Anolis sagrei: one gene and its partner. The protein of the gene in region 1 interacts with the protein of each later gene in a pairwise test. Links are inferred from orthologs where the notes say so. Each region holds a gene or a part of one and is shown in the gene's direction. Other genes may lie near its edges.

Region 1 (7,923 bases):
TTCTCCCTCTCCTCTCCCCTTTGTTTTGTTTCTGTGAGAGAGGTTAGAGCCCTCAACTCAATGTCTGCGTTCCAGTGACAGGTTTCAGGGATGCCTATGACATCGTAAATACGAAAAGACAAAGTGGCCAGTCCAGTAAAGTTGATGGCAGAGGATCATCACTTCCATGCTGGTAGTCTTTGCTTCTTCTAGAACAGCGACATTTGTTTTGCCTGTTTTACCCAGAGATTTGCAGGATTTTAGCAGTGTTTTGTTGGCCAGGCCACACAATTATTGAACTGTAAGTCCTGGCAACAAAGTAGCTATGGGAAATGTGGAGAGCCCCTCAATTTTTTTTTGTTTTCACATCAGGAGCAACTTGAGAAACTGCAAGTCGCCTCTGTTGTGAGATAATTGGCCATCTGCAAGAACATTGCCCAGGGGACACCTGGATGTTTTGATGTTTTACCATCCTTGTGGGAGGCTTCTCTCATGTCCCCACATGGAGAGCTGGAGCTGACAGAGGAAGCTCATCCACGAACCTCCAACCTGTTGGTCTTTAGTCCTGCTGTCACAGGGGTTTAACCCATTGTGCCACTGGGGGCTCCTAAGAATAAGGTAAGAGTATGACAAAAAGCCTGTAGTAATGCTAAAATAAAACACTAGAGAAACAAGGAACAGGGAAAATAAAGCCAGAGGTGACCTTCATAGGGAAAAATCCAAGCCTCAACTAAAAATATTTGCAAAACCTGGTCTAGGACAGAGCTTCTTAAAGTTCTTCTGCTCATGATCCCTTTCTATCAGAGAAATTTGTACATGATCACAGGTATATAAGTATACAAAATAGTTATACTAATCGAACATTTACTGATAATAAATCAGCTTTTGCAAGGCTTGCTAAAGAGGCTGATTTACCTTTTTATGAAGAAAAGCCGAAGTATTTCCTTCAGAGTCCATTGTGAACACTGCACTGTTGTTGCTAACAGATTCATGTCAATGTCTAAACCATCCACTGGGTGGTGCTCAAAACCCTTTTTCTGTTGCCAAATTTTTGCAACCTCTTATGGAACCCTATTTGGAGTCAGGACCCATAGCTTAAGAAGCAGTGGTCTAGACAACGAAGAGCATAAAGACTACCATTTAGGAGAGCTGTGAGGAAACCTAAAAGGGCAATGCAACTGCTATACACTATTCCTTCACTTTCTATATTTTCATATAGTTCGCCACCAGGTACATCTACCAACACATAAGCTTCATTGAAGTCAGAACTACCCTGTGTACTCATGTATACAAGTACTGAGTACATAGGTAGTTCTGACTTCAATGAACATCTTAAACACCTACCCACCAACTCTGCTACAGGACACAAGATACATTTGCATGCAAACTTACTAAGTCCTATATGTATATAGGACTTAGTAAGTTTGCATACAAATGTGTGTGTGTGTGTATATATATATATATATACACACACACACACACACATTTGTATGCAAACTTACTATATATATATGCCATTTTCCAAAAATATTTTTAAACCTATATCTATATCTATCTATCTATCTATCTATCTATCTATCTATCGGGTTAAAAAAAAATATTTTTGGAAAATGGCATTCACCACCATTTTGGGAAAATCAGGAATCTCCCTGAGAATAGTTAAAAACTCGCTTGAGTCCTTAGTGATAAATATCAATCAGCATTCATGCAAAGCAATTAGGTTTCTCAGCTGTTAAACCAATATACCTAGACATCTCTTTGAACTGTTTGGGACAAAGATATTCCAATGCACATACAAACACACACACAGGCTGGATAGCCATCTGTCAGGGGTGCTTTGAATGCAATTTTCCTGCTTCTTGGCAGAAGGCTGGACTGGATGGCCCACGAGGTCTCTTGCAACTCTATGATTCTATGATATATAGCAGAGTTTTAGAAGTGTTCTTTCAGTTGCCCAAAAACATCTACTCTCCCTTAAAACATCTTGGTTTTAAATCATGCTCTCAAAAGACAAAATAAACAGACTTCTTTAAAAGTAACATAGTTGGTTTACTCACAGATTTCATGTATTCAGCATACAGTTATTTTGCTCATCAATCCAGTTACAAATAGAGTTTGAAGTAGTTTGTGCAGACAACACAGGGCATCTTTCTTATAATCACAGTCCATAGTCTAAAGCACCTCTCTGGTCTGAGAGTCTAAAAGGCTGTCTTTTTCTAAAGTCTTCTAAGGTATACTTTTTCTACATTGAAAGTCTAATGGCTTCTGCTTCTAATGGCATCTGAAATCATACAGTTTCTAAAATGGAGTCTGAGTCCTGAACAATCCCACATCTGATCACATGGTTTGCCGCCCCTCCCACAACATAGAGTTAAGGAAAAAACTGCATACCAATACACACATATACAATACACTAAGCAATCTGAATTATATACATAACAAATAACTAGTGGAGGCTTGAAGAAAGTTGCAATTTCCAACAGATTTTGCTCCTGTTCTTTTTAATTTTGCACTTTGTTAAAATAAACCAACCTGGGGAGCAGGTATAAAAAGTATCTAACTGTATCAGAAGCTGACAAAAATATTGTGGGATAAACAAAACATGCACCTTTTATGGTTAGTTAGGGAGGAGTGGTGAACTTCCCTTGTATTGCTACAATAGCGCCAACACAAGTTGGCTGGTTGTGGGATACTTATATACAGACATAAATAAGTACATAAGCACGAGCATTGCCACTCATCTAGCAAAAGCCAATGCAGTGACACTACAAGGGGCCACTTCAATTAGCAATAGCTTTGTGCTACAGGCAGACAAACAGATACGCATGCATACTTTGACCGACAGATAGATAGATAGATAGATAGATAGATAGATAGAGTGATAGAGTGATAGAGTGATAGAGTGATTGACTGAGGCTGCCTAGTGGTAAGGCCATCCTCTTCCCTTTCATGGGGGTCCTGTGCCCAGAGAACATGGAGACCTGACATTATGTGCACCAATAAGACACCAAAAGTTTTACAAACCATAGGCAAGAGACAAGCATTTTCTTCCATCTTTAGCAAACAATACTTACAAGAGGTTGTTTTATAAGAGGGCTATGGTAATAATTGATGACTGCCAATGGTGTGGCTATACATTGCCTCCAAGAGGAGAGGCAGCACTGCCTATAGCTAGAAAGACCAGTCACTGAATATGTTCATGCAGCAAAGGGTTTGGCATAATCTTCAGCAATGTGCAATGAAAACACTCAAGCAAATTTCCATTTTTGGGAGATCAAGGGCTCCAGGACATTAGAAGTACAGATGTGCATCCCTATAGTGACCCACGGCATGTTTATCTCTTTCTTTCTTTATTTGCTGCATTTCTATCCCGCCTTTCTCAGCCCGAAGGCGACTCAAGGCAGCTTACACTGGCACGATTCGATGCCACAGTGAACATTAAAAAATTAAAACAAAATTTAAAACAATTAACACAGAGACTTCACAACCTCTGAAGATGCTTGCCATAGATGCAGATGCTTGCCATAGATGCATCAGGAGAGAATGCTTCTAGAACATGGCCATATAGCCCAAAAAAACTACAACAACCCAATTAACACACATTATAAAAACCCTGTAAAAAGCATTAAAAGCATAAAACACCAGTAACTTCCTATTAGCTCATTTTCCAAAAACATTGTCAAGCCATACCATGTTCATTCTTTCCTGGGTTCCATATTCATCCATTACATTGCGTTTTCAAAGGCTTGTTCAAAAAGCCAGGTTTTAAATTTTTTTCAGAATGTCAGTAGAGAGGGGGCTGATCTAAGGGAGTTCCATAGCCGAGGAGCCACCATTGAGAAGACCCTGCCTCTCGTCCCCACTGGGCACGCCTGCAATGAAGGCACGATCAAGAGCAGAGCCTCCCCAGAAGATCTTAAATTCCTAGCTGGTTCATTGAATCAACCTAGCTAGTTGATTGATTTTTCCAAGACTTTCGCTTTACTCGAAGGCTTTCACGGCCAGAATCACTGCAGTGTGGTGTGGTTTTGTCATATGTTCCATAGTTGATGGTGGTTGGTGGTGGTAGACCTGGCAGTTGGTGATGGAAGGATTAATGTAAGTCTTGGTTCTAAAGGGTTGAGTAGTTTATAAGTAACAGTTTACAGGTAAAAGAAATTACGAGTGGAGGTGTGCAGGAGATGGGTTGCAGCTGGGTATTACTGGATTTAAGGAGCTAACTTTGAGACTTATCTTTGGGAGAAAAGTATCTGTTGCATTTTGGTGGTGGATGTTGCTGGCATTTGACCATTGGACTGGACCCTTTTGACTACGAAGTTATTTTTGCTATCAGTTTTTGTTTATTCTGTAGCTGCGTGCTATCTTTGTGTTTTATATTTTGGTCTATTGAAACAGCCAGCAAGTAAGTGCTGTTTTAATTAAACTGTTTGATAAAACTGATAGTTTGATTAATCTCTACCTAAATAAGGTAGAGCCCTGGCAACGTGACAGGTTTAGGGCCCTGTTCTAGCAACATGTTCTCATGACATTTCAACCATATCTGTGGCTTCAGATCTTCTGAAGATGCCAGCCACAAGAGAAAATGCTACTAGAACACAGCCATACAGCCCAGAAACCGCACAACACCACTTTCATTTTTGTTTCCAAGAATCATTGTGAAGCCCAGAGTGGCACAGCCCACAGTGTGGCATCTTCGTTGCTTATTTATGTATAAGATCCTGTGTTTTCATACATATTCTGCATCCTGGGCTGCTACCGCACATGGCCCCATATGGAGTCTGACGGTGGCTCCTGACATCCTTGACATCAGTCCAGTGGGAAAGTCGGTTTGGCTCTCTGGTTTCTGTGAAGACAATAGCAAGGAGCTTTCTGGGAGCTGTAGTTCAGAGACCTTTGTATAAAAACTCCATTTTATTTCCTTTTCTCAGACTCCTCTCTCCAAAATGCAATCCCTTGAACAGGTAAGGGGTTGAGAGGGGAGCAGGTTTGCAGCCGCCCTTTCTGGTGTGCCTTCCACTAGAGGGCAGAGGCACCTAAGGACAGGGCCTTGCGCATGGCACCAGAAAAAGGTGAAAGAGTTAACAATACATGGCTCGCTTTGGAATTTGCAAACCTGAGGGGGAAGTGGGGATGCTGCCCTACATGGAAGGCCGCCTGTTTGGGGCCTGCGGGGCAAACCTGAAGAGTGCCAGCAGAGAGGCTGATAGTCATCAGCTTGGAAGAGACTGAGCTATACTGAGGTACAGAGCAAAGAAATGCCTTCCCATTGCTGTAGTCGCATACTTAATACCTGCCTAGAACAACATTTGGTGCAGTTTTGAGCACAATTGTTTTTCCAGCTTCCAAGATAATAGGGAGTGCAAAGCATAGAAGCCTAGGGAAAGACAACCGTTTTTAAGAGAATTCAAAATGGTTTCAAATATATTTATTTTCCCACGATGGAAATGTATGCAAATATTGCTTTTGTCCCACTTTCCACTCTGGTCAAACAGGTTTTGCAGGTTTTAAAGAAACAAAAACCTGCAAAACGTGTTTGATCGGAAAATATGATCAAAAGAGGGAGCATTGCTTTTTCAAACTGTCTGCAATTCCCTTACAATATTATGTATTAACTTGGGTACCAGGCGCTGGTTGGGTTATTTGAAAATGTCAAATTTTTAGTTGTACAAATTGCATAAGGTTGTGGGTGAACTACAACTCACATTATGCCAGGTTAATCCCGAAAAATTCAATCAGTACTTAAAAAATTGTTATGTTGGTCAAGTTTGCTCTAGATAAGTGTTTCTCAACCTGGGGGTTGGGACCCCGGGGGGGGGGGGGGTCACCAGGAAGGTTTCAGTGGGGTCACCAAACACCATCAGAAAACACATATTTCAGATGGTTTTAGGAACCCCTTTGGCAGAGAAGGCTGAAGATCTCTCTGCTTGTCCTTCTCTTCCATTTTGGAAACAGACGGCAAATCCTCCTACTAAAAGCCCTCCTCCAGCTCTCTGGATGTAGCTGAACTACAACTCCAAAACTCAAGGTCATTGCCCATCAAATGCTTCCAGTATTTTATGTTGGTCAGGGGAATTCTGTGTGCCAAATCTGGTTCAATTCCATCATTGTTGGAGTTCACAATTCTCTGATTGTAGGTGAACTATAAATCCCAGAAACTACAACTCTTAAATGACAAAATCAACCAATCAGTATTCAAATTTGGGCATATCGGGTATTTGTACCAAATTTGGTCCAGTAAATGAAAATACATCCTGCATATCAGATATTTACATCATGATTACGATTCATAACAGTAGCAAAATTGCATAAAGTAGCAATGAAAATAATTTTATGGTTCAGGGTCACCACAACATTAGGAGCTGTATTAAGGGGTTACAGCATTAGGAAGGTTGAGAAACACTGCTCTAGGTGCATCATCGATGGGGTTCAGTGTGCTCGCTGGCTGTAGGGTAAACTACAATTCACTATGGTGAGTCAGTCCCCTCAAGTCCCTTCAGTCTGTTGAGTTGGTCATGGGGTTTCTGTGTGCCAAGTTTGGTCTAGGTCACAGTTTTGCTAGTTGCATGTGAACTACAACTCCCAGAAAGGAAGGTTGGTTCCCCCACCCCCAGTAATCAAATTTCAGCTTATCAGGTATAAGTTTGGTCCAGATCCATCGGTGTTTGGGTTCACAGTGCTCTCTGGATATAGGTGAACTACAACTTCCTCAAATCAAGAAGGATTTCCCCCAAAGATCTCCATGGGGGCCTCTATGTACCATGTTTGTTCAATTTCCATCTTTGGTGGAGTTCGGTGCTCATTGATTGCAAGTGAACTATAAATCCCAGTACCTACAACTCCAAAGTGTCCAGGCCAATTCCCCTCAAAACCCACAAGTATTCAAATTTGGGCATATTGGGTAGGCATGCCGAGTTTGGTCCAGGTCAATTATTGTTTGGGTTCATAGTGTGCTCTGGATGTAGGTGAACTGCAACTTCTATACATCTCCTCAAAGATCTCCAGTCACTTTTTGTTGGTCATGGGGCTTCTGTCTGCCAATTTAGAGCTTTAAGATCTGCTGGGGAGGCCCTGCTCTCGGTCCCACCCCATTCGCAAGTGAGACTGGTGGGAACAAGAGACAGAGTCTATTCAGTGATGGCCCCTTGGCTGTGGAACTCCCTCCCCAGTGACATCAGGCAGGCCCCATCCCTCCTGTTCTTTAGAAAAAAGCTAAAGACCTGGCTTTGTATGCAGGCGTTTGGAGAATAAAATATTAAGGAATTCAACCTCAACAGCCTGAATAATGACTATGGATTTTGGATAATGACTATGAATAAGCATGAAATCAAGACTCTGCATTTTATATGTTTATATGTTTTTAATTTGTTTTATTGCTCTATGTGTTTCAATTGCTCAGATGTTTTTAATGTTTTAACTGTTTTAGAGTTTGATAGGGTGTGTGTTTATTGTTATGTTCTGTTGGAGCTCAGCCTGTGATTGAGTTTCAGGATCAGGGCGCTTTGGATGTGGGGAGTGATGTCAATGAGTTTCAAGATAGCAATGGTTTGGTCTATGATATTGACGCAGAGAATGACCAGGAGATCCCTGTTCAAAGTGTAGTTTCCCATGAGAATATCCCTATAGGGTGTGGGGATGATGGTGTGCTCCCTGAACTACTACCAGAGAGTTCCCATGATTTGGAACTTGAAAGCAGCTTGGCACCTGTTAAGTCGCCTAAGGACTGAGAAGGGCGGTATACAAATATAGTAAACAAATAAATAAGCAAATAGATAGTTGGGAGGAGATTAGTTAAAACAGAAAAGCTGAACAGTGGCTTCAGTGTTCTGCCAGGTTCCGAGAAAAAAAGATAAGAAACTCTCAGCTAAAGTGAAACCAGTTTCTGAGCGCTAGAGACATAGCTAACGAGGAGATAAAAGTCCCAAGTACAGGATATGTAGTCAGATG
Region 2 (6,832 bases), on another chromosome or scaffold:
GGGCTTCTGGGAGTTGGAGGCCCAAACAGCCGAAGGGCCACAGTTTGAGGATGCCTGGTGTACAGTAATTAATCATTTCATTGGTCTAAGCTGGATAATACAGATTCTTGTTGGCTCTCTTTCTTTCTAATAGCAAAAGGTGTCCAACAATTGCACTTTTAATTTCTCTGACCTTGAGCATAGCATCTGCCAGCTTGTCTTATCTACTTGCTCTGTTTCACTTTCAAGCACATGAGAAATTTAGGGAGTACTAGCTTATGGATTTATCCTTGAAGACAGAGAGTAATCACCTCCCTGTGGCAGCTTCTTCTAAGCAACTGAAGTTTTTGCAAATGAAAGCATCTAGCAAATCAGGACATACTGGATTTACAGTCATTAGAAAATCCCACTTAAAGCCATGTCTCTCTTAGTATAAACTAGAAGAGGCTGTAGCAGTTCGCTTTTGCCTGTCAACTCTGGAGACCAGGTTTCGAATCCCTGTTTGGCCATATAAGCCCACAATGAAGGGGCACTGATTTATGGGCACTCCAAATGCACAAGCTTAGGAGTTCCCGCAATGGCCCAATGTAGCCATGCAAGGAGGAAGCCGTAAGTTGGATTCTTACTACAAAGACTTTATTATATGGCCATAATATTGACAAACATGCTCACAGGAATGCAATCAAAGGATTTGTCGCAACTCCCAATGGGGCTTCAGAGCTTTTATCATTTTTGACAATAAATTGAATATACATTCTCATTGGTTTCCAAAGACAAATAATTTAATTGGTCTAAGCTAGCTCATTGGTTCTTTATTATTATGTCTGACGTAATAGCACACCTAACAATGGTGCAACTATAGCACAATTATAGCACAATTCTGACCATAACTGTCTTAATGAATCAATCTTATCTGTTAGTCTGTTTCAAACATAACTCCAGAGCAACTGGGAAACTCGGGAGTTTTAACTAGCTACTAGCTAGCCAGTTTTGTCCGGATATACTGTTATCCTTGAATAGTAACTTCCTCTCTGCAGCAACGTTTTCTCAAACAATCTGCATTTTCTGTAAACAAAGGCCGGCTGCAGAAAAAGTCCAATATGGCAGTAAATAAAGACATATGGGCATTGGGAACATCTCTGAAAATCCCCTTTTAAAACCACGTCTCCTTCAATTGGATGACCTTGGGCAAGTCACGGTCTCTCAGCCCCAGCGGGTGGCCAGGGAAATGCTTCCTCTGACCACGTCTCGCCAAGGAAACACCTTAAGGTTGCCATACATCAGAAATCACTTGAAGGCACTTTGCAAATTGTGGTTCAGTGTTTTGAGTGTTGGACTCTGAGAGGCAGGACCCAAACGCCTGCTCAGCCATAGAGAGGTATGTGGCAACCTTGGACGAGCCACACTCTGCCTCAGCCGAAGAAGGCAAGATCAGCAAACCTCCTCTTAATAAATCTTGCCAAATAAACCTTACAATAAGGTTGCCATAATTGGTCGATTTAAAGGTGTGAAAGAAAACCCACACTGTTTAGGTCCCTGGGATATTATTGATATAGATGTTTTATTAGTCAAGCTTTAGGCTGGACCAGGTTTTGATTGACACAACGGCTCAGCTTATCCCAGATTCTTTCCCCAATATTAAAAGGCCTAGCTCAGTCCTGGGCAAACTTGAGCACTCCGAGAGTTTTAGACTTCAACTCCCACAATTTCCAACAACCTCAAGCCCTTTCCTTTCCCCTCTGTTTTCTGTAGAGTTTGAGCAGGCCCAAAGGATGGCAAAGATGCTTAACGCCAGTTCACAACAGCAACTCCTCCTCCCATGATTACACCTGGAAGACCAATGATTGCAAGGCATTGTATTCACAAACTCCAATTCTCCATGTGTTTGGACTTCAACTCCCAGAAGCCTCAACTGCCTTGGCCAATGAGCAGGCATTCTGGGTTATTTATTTTGTCTCAAAAGCATTGCATAAATTAGTATAAAACTGATAAAAATAGAAGGTTTGCAGGCGGCTAAATATGTTTCTTGACCAAAAACAGGCAACAGCAATGGCATTGTCTGTAGCCTCCAACCATTCCTCCTCTGTACATGAGGCAGGGCACAATGGACAAGCATACAGATGCAGAGTTGTCTGTTCTGCTCCACAGTAACACATAGTATGGGATTCTTTTAGGTAGTGCCATTTTGCCAGGTTGTCTTTTGATCTGGGTTGTTGTAGGGTTTTCGGGCTATATGGCCATGGTCTAGAGGCATCTATGGCAAGCATCCTCAGAGGTAATGAGGTCTGTTGGAACTAGGCAAAAGGATTTATATATCTGTGGAATGACCAGGGTGAGACAAAGGACTCTTCTCTGCTGGAGCTAGGTGTGAATGTTTCAACTGACCACCTTGATTAGCATACAATGGCCTGACTGTGCCTGGGGCCAACTTTTGTTGAGAGGTAATTAGATGTCCCTGCCTGCTTCCTCTCTGTTGTTGTGCTGTTGCAATTTTAGAGTTTTTTTTAATACTGGTAGCCAGATTTTGTTCATTTTCATGGTTTCCTCCTTTCTGTTGAAATTGTCCACATGCTTGTGGATTTCAGTGGCTCCTCTGTGTAGTCTGACATGGTGGTTGTGAGAGTGGTCCAGCATTTCTGTGTTCTCAAATAAAATGCTGTGTCCAGGTTGGTTCATCAGGTGCTCTGCTATGGCTAATTTCTCTGGTTGAAGTAGTCTGCAGTGCTTTTCATGTTCCTTGATTCATGTTTGGGCAATGCTGCGTTTGGTGGTCACTATGTAGACTTGTCCACAGCTGCATGGTATACGGTAGACTCCTGCAGAGGTGAGAGGATCCCTCTTGTCCTTTGCTGAACGTAGCATTCGTTGGATTTTCTTGGTGGGTCTGTAGATAGTTTGTATGTTGTGTTTCCTCATCAGCTTCCCTATGCGGTCAGTGTTTCCCTTGATGTATGGCAAGAACATTTTTCCTCTGGGTGGATCTTCATCTTTACTCTCATGGCTTGTTCTTGGTCTTGCAGCTTTTCTGATGTCTGAGGTGGAGTATCCATTGGCCTGGAGAGCACAGTTGAGGTGGTTCAGTTCATCTTGGAGGAGGTGGGGTTCGCAGATTCTTTTTGCATGGTCTGCCAAGGCTTTAATGGTGCTTCTTTTTTGACTTGGGTGATGGTTGGAGTTTTTATGTAGGTATCTATCTCTGTGTGTGGGTTTTCTGTCTTTTGATCTGCCCACTCCACTTCTGAGTCTATTCAGGGACTTCCAGGTTGCCCATTCTTGGTTTGCCCCTGGAGGAAGACCCTTGTGGGGGGCCATCCAGTTGGGGTTTTCTGGTTGAGCTGCCCAGAGGGATACTCTTGCTGTTGCTGGAGGGACGCCATTCTGGGTGCTGAGGTCCAAACCCCTAAAAGATCCAAGCTTGGGCAAATTTGGCCCTCTAAGTGTTTTGGACTTCAACTCCCACCATTCCCAACAGCCTCAGGCCCCTTCCTTTTCCCCCTCAGCCGCTTAAGCGGCTGAGGGGGAAAAGGAAGGGGCCTGAGGCTGTTGGGAATGGTGGGAGCGGCTGAGGGGGAAAAGAAAGGGGCCTGAGGCTGTTGGGAATGGTGGGAGTTGAAGTCCAAAACACTTGGAAGGCTCAAGTTTGGCCAGGACTGGGCTAGGCCTTTGAATATAGGGGGAAATCTGGGATTGGCTGAGCCTTTGTGTCAATCAAAACCTGGCCCCGCCTAAATCTTGATTGATACAACGCCTCAACCTATCCCGCCGACGTGGCGTCAGCCTCTGTGACGTCACCACCCTTCGCCTACGCGCATGCGCCTTTCCCTTTCCTGCCTCCACCGGAAGGAAGTCAGCTGCTGACTGTGGAACCAGACAGTCGAACGAGGTGGGAGGAGAGTCAGCCGCCGCCATTTTGCGACGGGAGAGGTTCTTCCTTTCCTTTCGTTTGGACTCTGAAAAGCCTTTGAAGCAACGCGGCAAGGCGCTGAAGTCGAGGGAGCGGCGGGCTTGGTCTTATTAGGCCGGAGGATCACAACAGGCTGAGGGAAGGGAGGGTGGGCGAGGGGAGCGAGTAGGCCCGGGTGTAAGTAGGCCGCGGAGGGTTTGAGGGGGTCGGGAGGCGGGCTGTTGCTGAGTTGATCACACCCTTGAGGCCTTCCAGGCCGCCGTAGGCTCAGGAGAAGGGGGTTTCATTAAAGGGAACTCGGAAGGGAGCAGAGATCTCGGAAAGGGTGGGTCGGGAAGGATCGGAAGAGGTAGGCCTCGGCGCCGCGGCCCTAGTCACTCTTCGGAGGGGAAGGAGTCGGTTCTGCTGTGTTTCTTGGCTCTTGTCACGAAAGGAAGAGCGGTTTCTTTCCCCCTCGAGGCGGCATTGCAGGGAGATGGGCCTCTGCCTCGGTTAACCTCCTTTGTTTGGCCTCTCTGCCTCCTGTGGAAGGAGACCGAAGGGAAGCGGTGCTTGGAGCCCTCCCAGCCCTTGGGTATCGCAGCCTATCGACGCCGAAAACCCCCTCATCCAACGAACAGAGGATGGCTGCCAATATCGGCGATCAACTTCCCCCAGAATGGTGATTGTGATAGTTTGCTTTAATTTGGTATAAGGAGGGTTGTGGTCGAGTTATGAAGGGACTGATTTGTTTATTTATTTATTTAGTACATTTCTATACCACCCCTCTCAGCCTTCATGCGACTCGAGGAGGTTTACAAGGCAAGAATTCAATGCCACCAAGGACACAGTTACAATATATAACAGGCATCCTCAAACTATGGCCCTCCAGCTGTTTGGGCCTCCAACTCCCAGAATTCCTGACCACTGAACAAGCTGGCTAAGGCTTCTGGGAGTTGGAGGCCCAAACAGCTGGAGGGCCACAGTTTGAAGATGCCTGATATACAATATAAAAAACATCAGCAACAATAAATTCAAACATTATAATGAAACATTTCAATCGATAATCATTAAAACAATGTCCAGTTCCACCATATGGTTATTGGTGCAGTGGGTTAAACCCAGGACTGAAGCCCGACAGGTCACAGGTTCGAATCCAGGGAGATGCAGATGAGCTCCCTCTATCAGCTCCAGCTCATGCGGGGACATGAGAGAAGCCTCCCACAAGGATGATAAAACATCAAATCATCTGGGTGTCCCCTGGGCAACGTCCTTGCAGACGGCCAATTCTCACACCAGAAGCAACTTGCAGTTTCTCAGGTCGCTCTTGACACAACATACAAACACACACACACACACATATATATATATATTGTGTGTGTGTGTGTATATATATAGTTATCCCATTATTATATCCCTTACTCCGTATTTTCAAATGCCCGCTCAAATAGCCATGTCTTAAGATTCTTCCGGAATGATAGGAGCGAGGAAGCCAATCTAATCTCCCTCGGAAGGGCGTTCCATAGCCGAGGGGCCACCACTGAGTAGGCCCTGGTTACTACTATCGTCTTTATTTCTACCCTGTCTTAGGGCCCTTCCACACAGCCATATAACCCAGAATATCAAGGCAGAAAATCCTACAATATGTGCTTTGAACTGGGTTATCAGAGGGCCCTTCCACACAGCTGAATAAAATCCCACATCTGCTTTGAACTGGAATATATGGCAGTGTGGACTCAGATAACCCAGTTTAGAGCAGCTATTTTGTGGGACATGGGGCTGTGTAGAAGGGTCCTGGGTGTGACTCAGATAACCCAGTTCGAAGCAGATATTGTGGGATTTTCTGCCTTGATGTTCTGGAATATATGGCTGTGTGGAAGGACCCTTAGATAATCCAGGCCCCTTCCACACAGTTGAATAAAATCGTACATTATCTGCTTTGAACTGAGTTATATGGCAGATATTGTGGGATTTTCTGCCTTGATATTCTGTGTTATATGGCTCTTGGAAGGGCCCTGAGTCCACATTGCTATATATTCCAGTTCAAAGCAGAAAATGTGGGATTTTATTCAGCTGTGTGGAAGGGGCCTTGGAAACTCAAGACAGATACAAAAGTTGGAAAACAATTAAATGTTTTTGGGTGGATTCAAATAATACCATTTAAATTACAATCAAAGTCCAACATTCTTTCCCACCCACTCCTCCATCCCATTCCACCTACGCTGTAGGATTATTGCACTCCACTTGAACTGCTATGGCTCAGTGCTGTGGAGTCTGGGGTTTGTAATTTGGTGGAGGCATCTGCATTCTTTGACAGAGAAGGTTACATGCCTTATAAAAACATAACTCCCAGGATTCCATAGCATTGAGCCACGGCAGTTAAAGGTGGGTCTAGTTGCATTATGTCTATTCTATAAATGCACCCTTAAATCATAAAATAATAAACTTTATTTATATCCTGCCACCATCTCCCAAAAGTGACTCAGGGCGGCTTACAAAGCACTCCAGGTGCAATATCTAACATCAATGGTACATGAATATAAAACAATATCACATACAAATTATAAAAACAACCACATATCTCTCTCAACAGATGTCCCCCATTTTGTGGGGCAGAGTAAATAGTCTCAGCTGCTTCTGAAAGGGAGCTACTGACAGCAGCCCAGTAACTTCTGTTTTTTACCTGCTACAACTGGCAATCTTCAAACTGGAAATGAGTGTTCAGCACAGTGGGGCTGGAGGCTGTCCGAAATTGGTATATTTGATGAGGGGGCTTTCTACCACAATTGGGGGGGGGGGGGTTAGAGCTGCTCAATTCTGAAATGAATTTTACATTCAAAATTGTTTTCATAGTGCCATAGCTGTTCTGCCTCTTTGAGGTTAAGTTAACACAAGCTTCATGTTTGACTGGTTTAAGCAGGAGTAGAAAATTCCTAGATCGTTATCAAAAAACTGAATTTAGGGCTTAAA

What was found. The genes of interacting proteins can lie anywhere in the genome.
Region 2: the proteins of ATN1 (region 1) and LENG8 interact in a two-hybrid assay, tested with the Homo sapiens proteins (2 studies listed by BioGRID and IntAct). The link is inferred for Anolis sagrei from reciprocal best matches to the Homo sapiens genes ATN1 and LENG8.

What each region holds. Positions count from the first base shown.
Region 1 is NC_090022.1:198,147,414-198,155,336, forward strand, and holds the start of ATN1 (atrophin-1), read left to right. Parts: upstream 1-4,917; 5' UTR 4,918-4,940; intron 4,941-5,013; exon of another isoform or gene 5,014-5,219; intron 5,220-7,923. UniProt on the Homo sapiens protein: Transcriptional corepressor. Recruits NR2E1 to repress transcription. Promotes vascular smooth cell (VSMC) migration and orientation. Corepressor of MTG8 transcriptional repression.
Region 2 is NC_090026.1:20,492,367-20,499,198, reverse strand, and holds the start of LENG8 (leukocyte receptor cluster member 8), read left to right. Parts: upstream 1-3,817; 5' UTR 3,818-4,506; coding exon 4,507-4,544; intron 4,545-6,832.